2 linked regions of the Caenorhabditis elegans genome follow. The protein of the gene in region 1 purifies or fractionates together with the protein of each later gene. This does not show direct contact. Each region holds a gene or a part of one and is shown on either strand. Other genes may lie near its edges. The genes, in order: F53F4.15 and set-27.

What was found.
Region 2: the proteins of F53F4.15 (region 1) and set-27 fractionate together in Caenorhabditis elegans (co-fractionation; one large-scale study listed by BioGRID). This does not show direct contact.

Annotation. Positions count from the first base shown.
Region 1 is NC_003283.11:13,619,193-13,622,124, reverse strand, and holds F53F4.15 (Neuropeptide-Like Protein), read right to left. Parts: upstream 1,150-2,932; 5' UTR 1,119-1,149; coding exon 971-1,118; intron 925-970; coding exon 719-924; 3' UTR 649-718; downstream 1-648. Other genes in the region: F53F4.16 (uncharacterized protein), read left to right, coding at 305-439, 484-543; srd-11 (G-protein coupled receptors family 1 profile domain-containing protein), read left to right, coding at 2,439-2,549, 2,784-2,932.
Region 2 is NC_003281.10:2,698,821-2,707,028, forward strand, and holds the start of set-27 (protein-histidine N-methyltransferase), read left to right. Parts: upstream 1-2,116; 5' UTR 2,117-2,120; coding exon 2,121-2,166; intron 2,167-2,260; coding exon 2,261-2,417; intron 2,418-3,270; coding exon 3,271-3,387; intron 3,388-5,136; coding exon 5,137-5,680; intron 5,681-6,563; coding exon 6,564-6,926; intron 6,927-7,955; coding exon 7,956-8,208.

The sequences.
Region 1 (2,932 bases):
AATAAATATTCATCGTTGAATTCAAGTTGTTTTTCGTTTTTATTTCTTTGGTTTTTATCCATTCATAATTATGCTTTCAAAGTTTCGAGAAGAAATTAAAAAATCTCATTAATTTCGAACTTAAAAAAACGTCAACGAAACATGAATAAAACTACATAGAAATTCACTTTTTTGTTGAAAAATTATCAATTTTACCAATTTTTGTGATTTTCGGTGATTTTCTAAATTTTGAAAAATTGAGTTGAATCTTTCATTCTACCCATAAAAGAACTAATTTTTCTTGACTTCATGACTTTTATTCCAGATGAGTTTACCCTGGTATCACCTGGAACGGCCTGCTCGAATGACCTTGCTACGAGCTTATTATACTGTATGTGCACTCACATATCCTACATATGTGGCGATCAACTACAAAAGTTATATTCCAGACAGAGCACAGGTAAAATTAAATCTAATTAGTTGCAGTTAATGAAATATATTTAGGTTCTTGGCGGAAAATCACTTCGTGACGAGATTCTACATCCGGCAATCGTCAAAAACTAGATCTATCGATGTGCAATTCCTCATCATTCTCCGAATTTTTGTCAAATACGAGTATTTTTCCGCCATTATCATTGGTTTTGAGTTTTCCCCCATAGGCCCTTTTCGTTTTTTTCTTTTAGTTTTTAGTCGTTGTTTGTTATCATTTTAAATTTATTCATTCATTAAAATTATTTAATTATGGATTGATGAAATAGTTAGAATAACGATACAATCCCCAGACTGGCTTGTTGGGATTGTAGCCATAATTAGGATAATATGGAATATTATCATCATAGACAGTTGGAAGATTTTGTTGAAGAAATAGACGATCATAGAATCCTGTCCGAGCAAATGCAGACGGAGCTCCACGAAGATTTGCTTCACGATCTTCCCGTTCTTCTACTTCAAAAAGTAATATTAAATTCTACAACTTCTCCGTGAAACCTACAAATCTCGGCAGCAGTTTTATCATGTTCACATGGCCAGACTTTACGAAAATTGACTCTTTCCGGAAGGCACATTCGACCAGGTGGCATTTCAATAGAATAACCAATCAGGAGAGTGAAGCAAAGAATAGAGAGATGAAGAGAAAACATTATTGATAATCATACAATGGGAAAGAGAAATATGGAAAAGACGATTAGGTGAAAAACTTCAAGAAAACACGATTTTTTGGTGATATCTCAGTGATCTCGACAGATTGAAAAATATGGGCGAACTGGATTCGCAATGCATTTTTGTATGTAATAAAGTTAATTGAAAATTAACTTTAAAAATATAAATAGTTCAGATTTATCAGGTTTTCCAAATAACAACATAATTTTTGAATAACGATGCATTAGGTTGTAGGTTGGATTTAACTTCTACCGTTTCACTTCCAATTTCTCAGCGTAAAAGCCAATCGTTATTTACCTCTGAAAGAGAACAAGAATGAATTCTTAAAACTTGCCTATATTTTTCTCATAAAATTTTGTAATTCGTGGACATCGCCTTAACCAAATGTATTATTACGAGATCACTACTTTCTGAGAATGCGTGTTGTGCAACATATCTGACGCGCAATATATCTCGTAGCGAAAACTACAGAAAATATTTAAATTACTACTGTAGCGCGAAATATTTTGCGCAATACGCATTCTAGACATCTAAAGATAAGAATTTTCGCCACATCTTAAATACTTATGCGCACGGTCTCGCCACGCTGACAACGAGTTACTGTAATAATGCATTATAATTTTCGTTTCAAATGAAACATTGCTTCTAAAATTTTTAAATAAAAACATGATCAGTCATAAATCAGCACGAGTTACAGTAGTCAGTAGTCAGCGTGGCGAGACCCAAGCGCGTAAGATATGGCAAAAATTATCATCTTCAGACATCTATGTAATAGATTTAATATGATTAAGGCGTCGCTATTTTGATGATCTGTAAATTTTTTTTGACAATTGTCTAGAACATCAAGTTAACTTAATGTTCTAGACTATTGATATAATACGAAACGACACAGATATATCCCAGACTATGAGTAATTCAAACAGTACATATATTCTCAGGTACGCCAGACGCTTTCTACTGAATGAAGCAATTAACAGCTCTGAGAGCCATCACGAGGAAGCATAAATAGAGATATCTTACGTGCACATGATGTGTTTTCCTTCCTTTTTCGAAAAGTCGAGTGAATAGATATGATAATTGTTTACTTTTTTACGGATTACGGAAAATCTAGTTCCCAAAAAATTATTTATTTTGCAAAATTCTTAGCATTCCTTAGAACAATATAATCATTCTGTAACCATAATCTTCACAGTCATCGTTCCAGTGAAGCCTTAAAATAAAGATTTTCTTTCTATTGAAAAATTTATATTTAAGAGAGAGCTTTTACCATTTTTTTTTTCACTTTCAGAAAAACTTGAAAAATGCTGGACTCTATCACATTATTCTTCCTTTCTTTCCATACGTTTGCCGGAGTTTCTGGCTGCATTCTCAATTCAATTGTGCTCTTTTTGGCACTTTTTCGGACTCCGAAGGTTAGTTTTTCGTGAAAAATCTTTGAACTAATCATAAAATATAGATTAAAATCAAAATTTGAGAGCTTTAGTTCCCAGTTTGGTAAAAACTGTGCAAATCTCGTAATATAGGCTCAGCTTTCTACAGAACTCTGCCATTATAACTAGGTGTGGGATAGCTGGAAATGTTCTGCAGAAATTCCTCATCACATAGACAAGCAATTTCAACCTTCAAACATCAGTTTCCATTTCCAGACAATCGCCGCTTACACCACAATTCTCATAAACTTTGCATTGACCGATTTCCTCGCCTGTTTCACAGATCTTTTCATTCAAATGCGGCATATTCCGGCTGGATTTACAATGGCTTATTTGTCACGTGGACTGTGCACTTATTTTGGACC
Region 2 (8,208 bases), on another chromosome or scaffold:
AAAATTTTGAATTTTAATTTTTAATCTCAAAAAACAAAAAGTAATACGGGCGATTTACTCAGCAGTAAACAAAGTAAATAAATAAAAAATTGTTGGTTTTCCGGGAAATGCAACTGCGCTCCATTGCTACGCGCGAGAGAGTGGAGACGGCAGAGACAATGGAGTTTTTTGCAGAATTTTAATTATTTTAAGCTTAAATTCATAAATTCAGCTGTTTTTTCTTAAATTTTTATTTCAAAATAAGAGGAGTAATATAAAAAAAAGCAATATTTCACAACTGACCGCCCGTGTTCCGCTGTTGATAAGTGTCCGTTGATAAGAATCCGATTAGAAATCTAGAGATTGACACGCTTACCGTATTTTTTGGCCATTTTTGAATGTTTTGCGCTGATTTTAGCATTTATTAATGCGATTTGTTATGTTTTTCTGTTCAAAAAAATGATTTTCCTCTTGAAAATTGGCGTTTTGTCGCAAAAAATGGGGAAAAAAGCTCCCATAGTCCTTCGTAAAGAACAATAGGCTTCCTTATGTGTCATTCACTGTCCGTTCTAGTCAATATTACGAAAAAATGGCAAAATTTGAGAAAAAGCTAAAAAAAAAACCCCCAAAAAACTGCCTTTTTCATCAAAAATTTGCAGAATTTTCTCACTTTTGGCTAGAATTCTTGAATTTTCTCCATTTTTGCTATTTCTTCTCGTTTTTCACATTTAAATCGCCAATTTTAAATCTTAACTGAGAAAAAAATTGGTAAAAACGGTGAAAACTGAAATATTTTTGGTTTTTGAACCATAGGTGTCAAATTTCAGGTAAAAATCCGAAAAATGCTCAAAAATTACCATTAAACCCCCCCCCCCCCCCCCCCCCCAATAAGCCCCGCCCACATAATGGCTTCAATTTTTTTTTGAATTTTTCACCAACTTTTTAGCTAAAAATTTAGTGGAAAAAACCTGAAAAAAAAAACCTCAAAATTTACAATTTTCATTAAAAATTTCATGTTTCCGGTGATAAAAATTTTCACAATAATTTTCAAACCCCGCCCATATAATGCCTTTAATTTTAATTTTTTTTTTTGAATTTTTCACCAACTTTTTAGCTAGAAATTCACTGGCAAAACCCTTAAAAAAACCCTCAAAATTTACCATTTTCATTAAAAATTTCATGTTTCCGGTGATAAAAATTTTCACTAATATTCAAACCCCGCCCATATAATGGCTTTAATTTTAATTTTTTTTTTTGAATTTTTCACCAACTTTTTAGCTAGAAATTCACTGGCAAAACCCTTAAAAAAACCCTCAAAATTTACCATTTTCATTAAAGATTTCATGTTTCCGGTGATAAAAATTCTCAAATAAGCCCCGCCCATATAATGGTTTAATTATTTTTTTCCACTTTTTTAAAGCTAATATTCAGCTTCTAACTGGTAAAAACCTGAAAAAAACCTCAAAATTTACAATTTTCATCAAAAATTTCAAGTTTCTGGAAATAAAAATTATCGACGAAGCCCCGCCCATATAATGGCTTTAATTTAAAAAAAAACTTCCACTTTTTAGCTAGAAATTCACTGGAAAAAACCCTTCAAAAACAGTTCATAAAATATGATTTTCATTAAAAATTTCATGTTTCCGGTGATAAAAATTTTCACAATAATTTTCAAACCCCGCCCATATAATGGCTTTAAATTTTTTTAAAATTAAAAAAAAAATTTTTTTGAATTTTTCACCAACTTTTTAGCTAGAAATTCACTGGCAAAACCCTTAAAAAACCCTCAAAATTTATAATTTTCATGAAAATTTTCATGTTTCCGGTGATAAAAATTCTCAACCTAGCCCCGCCCCTTTAATGGCTTCACTTAAGCTTCTGCCTGACAAAATCAATGTACCTTCCAAACCTTCCAAACCCGCCGAACTTTCCGGCACAAGTGCGTTGGCGGGGCTTGCTGGTGGCCGCTGTGTAATATGTGGCTCAATGAGCACACACAGCAAGCAGGCTCTGTGTCGCCTGCTGTTGGTCACTTTTCACTCGTTCTTCCACCTTTTGTTCGCAATTTTTCCCCCAAATTTTACGTTATTCGATCGAAATTTTGAGTAAAAAATTGAAATTTTAATCAAAAAATTCCAGTAATGGCGCCATCTCCAACTGCAGAACTTGAGGATCAAATTCTGGGAAGTTAGTGGATTTTTTTTTCGTAAAAAATTAAGGCAGGCATACCTACGTGCCTGCCTACCGCCTACGATCAAAAAAAAAACGATGAAAATTCCAGAAATCGCAACACTTTTCGAAGAAACTCTGAGTAAGCAGCCACCGTCGAATATTGTCGAACTATGGAAGGAACACGTTGAAATTCGGCGGATTCTTAATGATGTTATCAGTATTCAGGCAAAACTTGGTGATACTGATGAGCGATTAGCTAATTCTAAGTGAGAAATTGGAGAAAATCGGAAAAAAAACCCCCCGGGAAATGTGAACATTTCGTCTTAAATTACTTCTAATTTGGAAAAAAAAATTGATGGGAAAGCCATTGAATGGGCGGAGCTTAACTGTTTTCAGATCATTTTTAAGATGAAACAGATGCAAAAATATATCAAAAATTAAATTTTTTTTGAATTTTTTTAACTACTAAAAATTGCAAAAAACACCAATAAATTTGAAGAAAAACCTTCTAAAAATTTCTTTACAAATATCAAAAAATACTAAAAAATTTAAAAATAATGATAAAGAAATGCAAAAAAAAAAAATTTCAAAGAATTTCAAAGAATATCAAAAAAGTTTTTTTTTTTTTTTTTTTTTTTTAATTTTTAAATTTTTTTTTTATAATTTTTTTTTAGTGAAAAAATGCCAATTTAGGCCCCGCCCACATATTGGCTTAGTTTTTAAAAATGGAAAAAAATTTTTCAAAAAATACTTTAAAATTTCAAATTTTTTTAACCTTAAAAATTCTTTAAAAAAATCCTAAAAATTGCACAAATTGCAAAAAATCCTAAAAATAAAAAAAAATTCTTTTAAATTCTTTTAAAAGTTCAATAAATTGCAAAAACAAAACCTTTAACATTCAAAAAAAAATTGCAAAAAAATCTAAAAATTGCAAAAAATCCTACAAATAAAAAAAACCTTCAAAATTCTTTTAAAAATTCAAAAAATTGCAAAAAATTCTAAAATTTTCAACAAAAAATCCTTTAAAATTCTAAAAAAAAATTGCAAAAAAAAAATAGAAAAAATGCAAAAAAAATTCTAAAATATTTTTAAAAATTACAAAAAAATCCAAAATTTCAGACGAGACGCGGATTCAATAAAAACATTTCTTGCGTGGGCGGATGGAGTTGGAATTGCTCGAAATAATGTGACAATTGGAAGTACAAAAACTGCTGGGCTGTCACTTCAGGCAACTGGGTACATTTTTCCATACATATATAATCAAAAAAATTTTTTTCGATATTTCGAAAATCGAAAAATCGAAACAAAAAATTCAATTTTTAATCAACTTTTGTTGATAATAAAATTAGAAAAAATATACTTGTTTTTTCTAAAAATTAGAAAATTGACCACTATTTAAATTTTGAAATTTTGGTAATTTCTCCTATTGTTAGAAAAAAAAATCATACGTTTTCTAGAGTTTTTCCCGTAATTTTTGATAATTTTAGAAATATTTTTACTTAATTTTTCGATTTTCCCTCTTTTTTTAATCGAAAAATGTTTCGTTTTTACTTTTTTCTGGAAAAATCTAATTTTTTAAAGGATTAATCTCATTTTAATCCTTTTTTATATTCCATGAAAGAAACCGAAAAATCAAAATTTTAAATCGAAAAAATTTAGTTTTTCAAATTTTCGGTTTTCTCTGAAATTTTTTTTTTCAAAATTTGAAAAAAAAAATTTGCTTTAAGTTTTCGCCATTTTTCTTCTTTTTAGAAGACATTTTTTCATGTTTCCTTATGTTTTTTCTCATCAATATTACGGGTACACAATATTCAAAGAATGCGTATTGTACAACATATTTGACGCGCGAAATATGACTATATCTCGTAGCGAAAACTACAGTAATCCTTAAAATGATTACTGTAGCTCTTGTGTCGATTTACGGGCTCTGTGGCATTTGATTTTTATTCTATTTTCCTTCGTTTTTTGTATTACTTTCTCATTTTTAGCTTAATTTTATTATTTCATCGATATATAAATGATTTTAATTAATTTCAAAAATCGAGCCCGTAAACCGACACAAGCGATGTCTAGCTACAGTATTCATTTAAAGAATTACTGTAGTTTTCGCTACGAGATATAGTTATATTTTTTGCGCGTCAAATATATTGCACAATACGCATTCTCGGAATTTAGTGTTCCCGTAATATGAACAACATTAGATTAAAAATCGAATTTTATCGTAATTTTCTGAAAAATTTTTGCTTCGGTTTCAAAAAAATTGAAAAATCTTAAAATAATTTTTCTAAAATAAATTGCAAAGAAACCAAAATTTCCAATTCCAGACCAGGGGTGTGCGGCAAATCTCAAAATTTGCCGAGCTCGGCAAATTCGGCAAATTTGCCGTGCTTAACAAACTCGGAAAATTTGATACTTTTTGATGTTTTTTGGAGCACCAAAACTACTGAAATCTTAACACTCATCTGGTTTCTGAATAAGTTCCGTGTAGTATGTCTGCTTAAGCATCAAAATAACGCAATTTTGTGTCATTTTACTAAATTTTTGGCGAAAAAATCAATGGTTTTAGTCAAATTTTTGACGTGTGCGGCAAATTTCGAAATTTGCCGCACACCCCTGATTCCAGACCAATTCCAAAAAGTCATATAGTCGCTCGTGTTTCCTCATTTTTTTTTCTTATCACTATAACCAAAATTCGGTTAAAAACAGAAGTTTATGGTGATTTTCTGATTTTTTTTTGATTTTTTGGTTTTTGAGGTTAAAAAAATCGAAAAATTTTTAAACCGTAAAAAAGTGAAAAATAATTTTAAAAAAATACTTTTTTTTAATTACGAAGAGTTGCAATTTTTCCTTAAAAAAAAGGAAAGAAAAAAGAAATTTAAAAATTGTTTTTTTTTTCTGAAAAACATTATGAAAACCTTTTGATTTTTTATCTAAAATTAAATTAAATTTACACCGTTTTCATCAAAGAATTTTTTCACATTTCAGACCAATTCCAAAAAGTCATATAGTCGCCCGTGTCCCCCGCCACGCAATGATCACTCTGGACCTCGCAAAAAAATCTTCACTTCTGAAAAAAGCCTTCGAAAAAGATCCGATAGTCGGTGGAATGGATAATGTCGGTCTCGCACTGTTCCTCGCATGTCAATGGATTCAAAATGAGAAATCAAAATGGAAATCATACATTTCAATTCTTCCAACAACATTTCCCACACCACTTTTCTACTCGGAAGAGCAACTTCTCCAGTTGAAGCCATCACCGATATTCGAAGAAGCTATCCTGTTCTATAGAACAATTTCTCGGCAGTTCTGCTATTTTTTGTTGGCCATCGCGAAGAACAAGATCTACGAAGCGGCACAGAGACGAAAAGATGCACGGAATGCGATGGAAACTCCGATTTTCTATAATGTTCCGTTTAACGTCGCGAATTTCACGCCGAAGCTGTATTTCTGGGCGGTTGGAGTTGTGACGACAAGAGTTAATATGGTTCCAAGTGAAAATCAAGTTGGAGAAGATGGAAATCCGGTTATTGTAAGGGAATATTGATTTTTAAAAAGTACTAAATTTTTTAAATTGGACATTTTCAAAATAAATTAAAAAATCTTTGAAAAATCTCGATTTTTTTCATTTTTCTGAAAAAATTGACACAAAAAGTTCCGAAAATTTTAATAAACAATTTTTTTTTTTGGGTTTAATCTGAAAATTCCCTCATTTTTTGCTTTTTTAAAATACATTTTCATCAAAATTTTGATCCTTTTGATGAAAATGTGAAAATTTTCGTAATTTTCCAATTTTTTTTCAGAAAAAATTCAAATTTTCGTAATTTTCTAACTTTTTTCACAAACATTCCAAATTTTCGTACTTTTTTGTTTAAAAAATCCTTAAATTTTGGCGATTTTCTTTAATTTTTTCGTAAAAATTCACTTTTTCGAATATTTAGGCCAGAAAAAATTGAAAAATGAAATAAACAAATATAATTTAATTTTAACTAGAAAAAACCGAAAAAAAAAACTGATTGATTTTTATTAGGAAATCAATTAATTTCTATAATTATGAAGAATGATAAAATTTCTTTTTTTTTTCAGTTTTCAAAAAAAACATTTTCGCAGAAATTCTTGCTTTTACGACTTTTCTTCAGAAAAATTGATACTTTTTGTATTTTTTACCGTTAAAATAACGAAAAAAAATTGCAAAAAAAACTCCAAAATCTCTAAATCAATTTTTTTTTTCGTTATTTCTGTTTTTTTCTTTACAAAAATTAAAGTTTATTTGATAAGTCAATAATTTCGATGCTATTTTTCTCAAAATTGTTTCAAAATTTAAAAGTTAGAAAGAAAATTCAAATTTTTTTTTTCAAAATTAAAAAAAATTCGATTTTCGAAAAAAAATCTAATAAAAAGTGTTTTTTTTTCAGATTCCAGCATTAATCCCAGTGCTAGATATGGCGAATCACGAAAATGTGCTCACAGATGTGCTCACTGAGCCAATTGAAGATCTTGTATGCTATTCACCAGAAGAAGAATGTGCAGTTATAACAAGTCATTGTGATGTAAAAGCTGGAAATGAAGTTACAATATTTTATGGATGCCGTAGTAAAGGAGAACATTTACTTCATAATGGATTCGTACCAATTTATCACGGAAAATTCGACGTTTTAAAGCTGAAAATTGGAATTCCGAAGACTGATAAGACGTTGGATGCGAAGAAAAAATTGATTCAGAAATTTGTGAAAAAAGTCTATTGTGCTGGAAATATTTTCCATGTTGATCTTTATAATGTGAGTTTTGTACCGATTTTCGGAACGGCGGTCGAAAAATTAAAATATAAAATTTTTTTTTTTTTTTTCAGTGTAAAAATATGCGAATTTCTCTAAAAATCCGCTTTTGTTAATTGAAAATTCAAGAATTTTAGAGAAATTTGAATTTTTTATAGTAGAAATTGAAAAAGTTAGATTTGAAAAAAATTCGAACTTTAAATATAAGAAAATTTGTATATAAAAAACCAATTTTTAAAATAAAATAAAATTTTGAGCTGCAAAATTCCAGAAATTAGTTACTTTTTAATTGAAAATTTATCAATTTTCAATTTTTAGTTAGAAATTTTGATATTTTTTGAATTTTTCTAGTTGAATTGGAAAGAAATTTATAAAAATTTAAAAATTTCCCGATTAAAAAAGTTATTATTTGTGCTAAAAAATAAAATATTTAAAATCAGAATTTCAGATGGAAAATTTTATTTTTGGTGAAAAATCCACTTTTTCGAATATTTAGGCCTAAAAAATTGTAAAATTAAATTAACAAATGTGTGTGTGTTTTTTTTTTAATTTTTTTAATCTTCAAATTTGTAAAAATTTGATTTTTAAAAAATCGTCTTTTTTTGAATTTTTTAGTATTGAAAAAAGCAAAAAAAAAAAATTTTTTTTGAGTTTTTACATTTTTTCTAGCCTAAATATTTGACAAAGTGGATTTTTTTAACGGAAAAATTGAAGAATCTAACGAAATTTGAGGAACTTTTTGAAAATAATTTTTTGATAATTTTTAAATTTTTAGCAAAAAAATCAGGATATTTTCAAATTAAATTCAAAGTTTTACTTTTAAACAAGTAAAATTTTCGGAATTAAAAAAAAAATACTTTTTTGAAAAATCTAATAATGTTTACTTTTCGTCAAATTTTTGAATTTCAATATTTCAAATTGAAATACTATTTTTTTCCAAAATTTTTACATCAACAATAAATAATTCTAAACCTGAAAAAAATCTCAATGAAATTAGAATTTTCCAAAAGATTACTGTAGTTTGACTTACAGTACCACGAACAACCATTCCCACTGGATCTTCTAATGTTCGCAGCGATTTTCGTCTCCACAACACCCACCGAAGAAGCCGTTTCAGCACCGGAAAACCGTAAAAAAGGATTGGAATTTTTGAAAACTCGCTTTTCACTGCTCAAAAGATCTTATGAATCGTCATTTGATGCATCAAAACTCAAAGAAATTGGAATTGATGGAGATTCGGCTCGCCTAAAGTCTGCGGAGCTCGATATTCTACAATTGGCTCTGA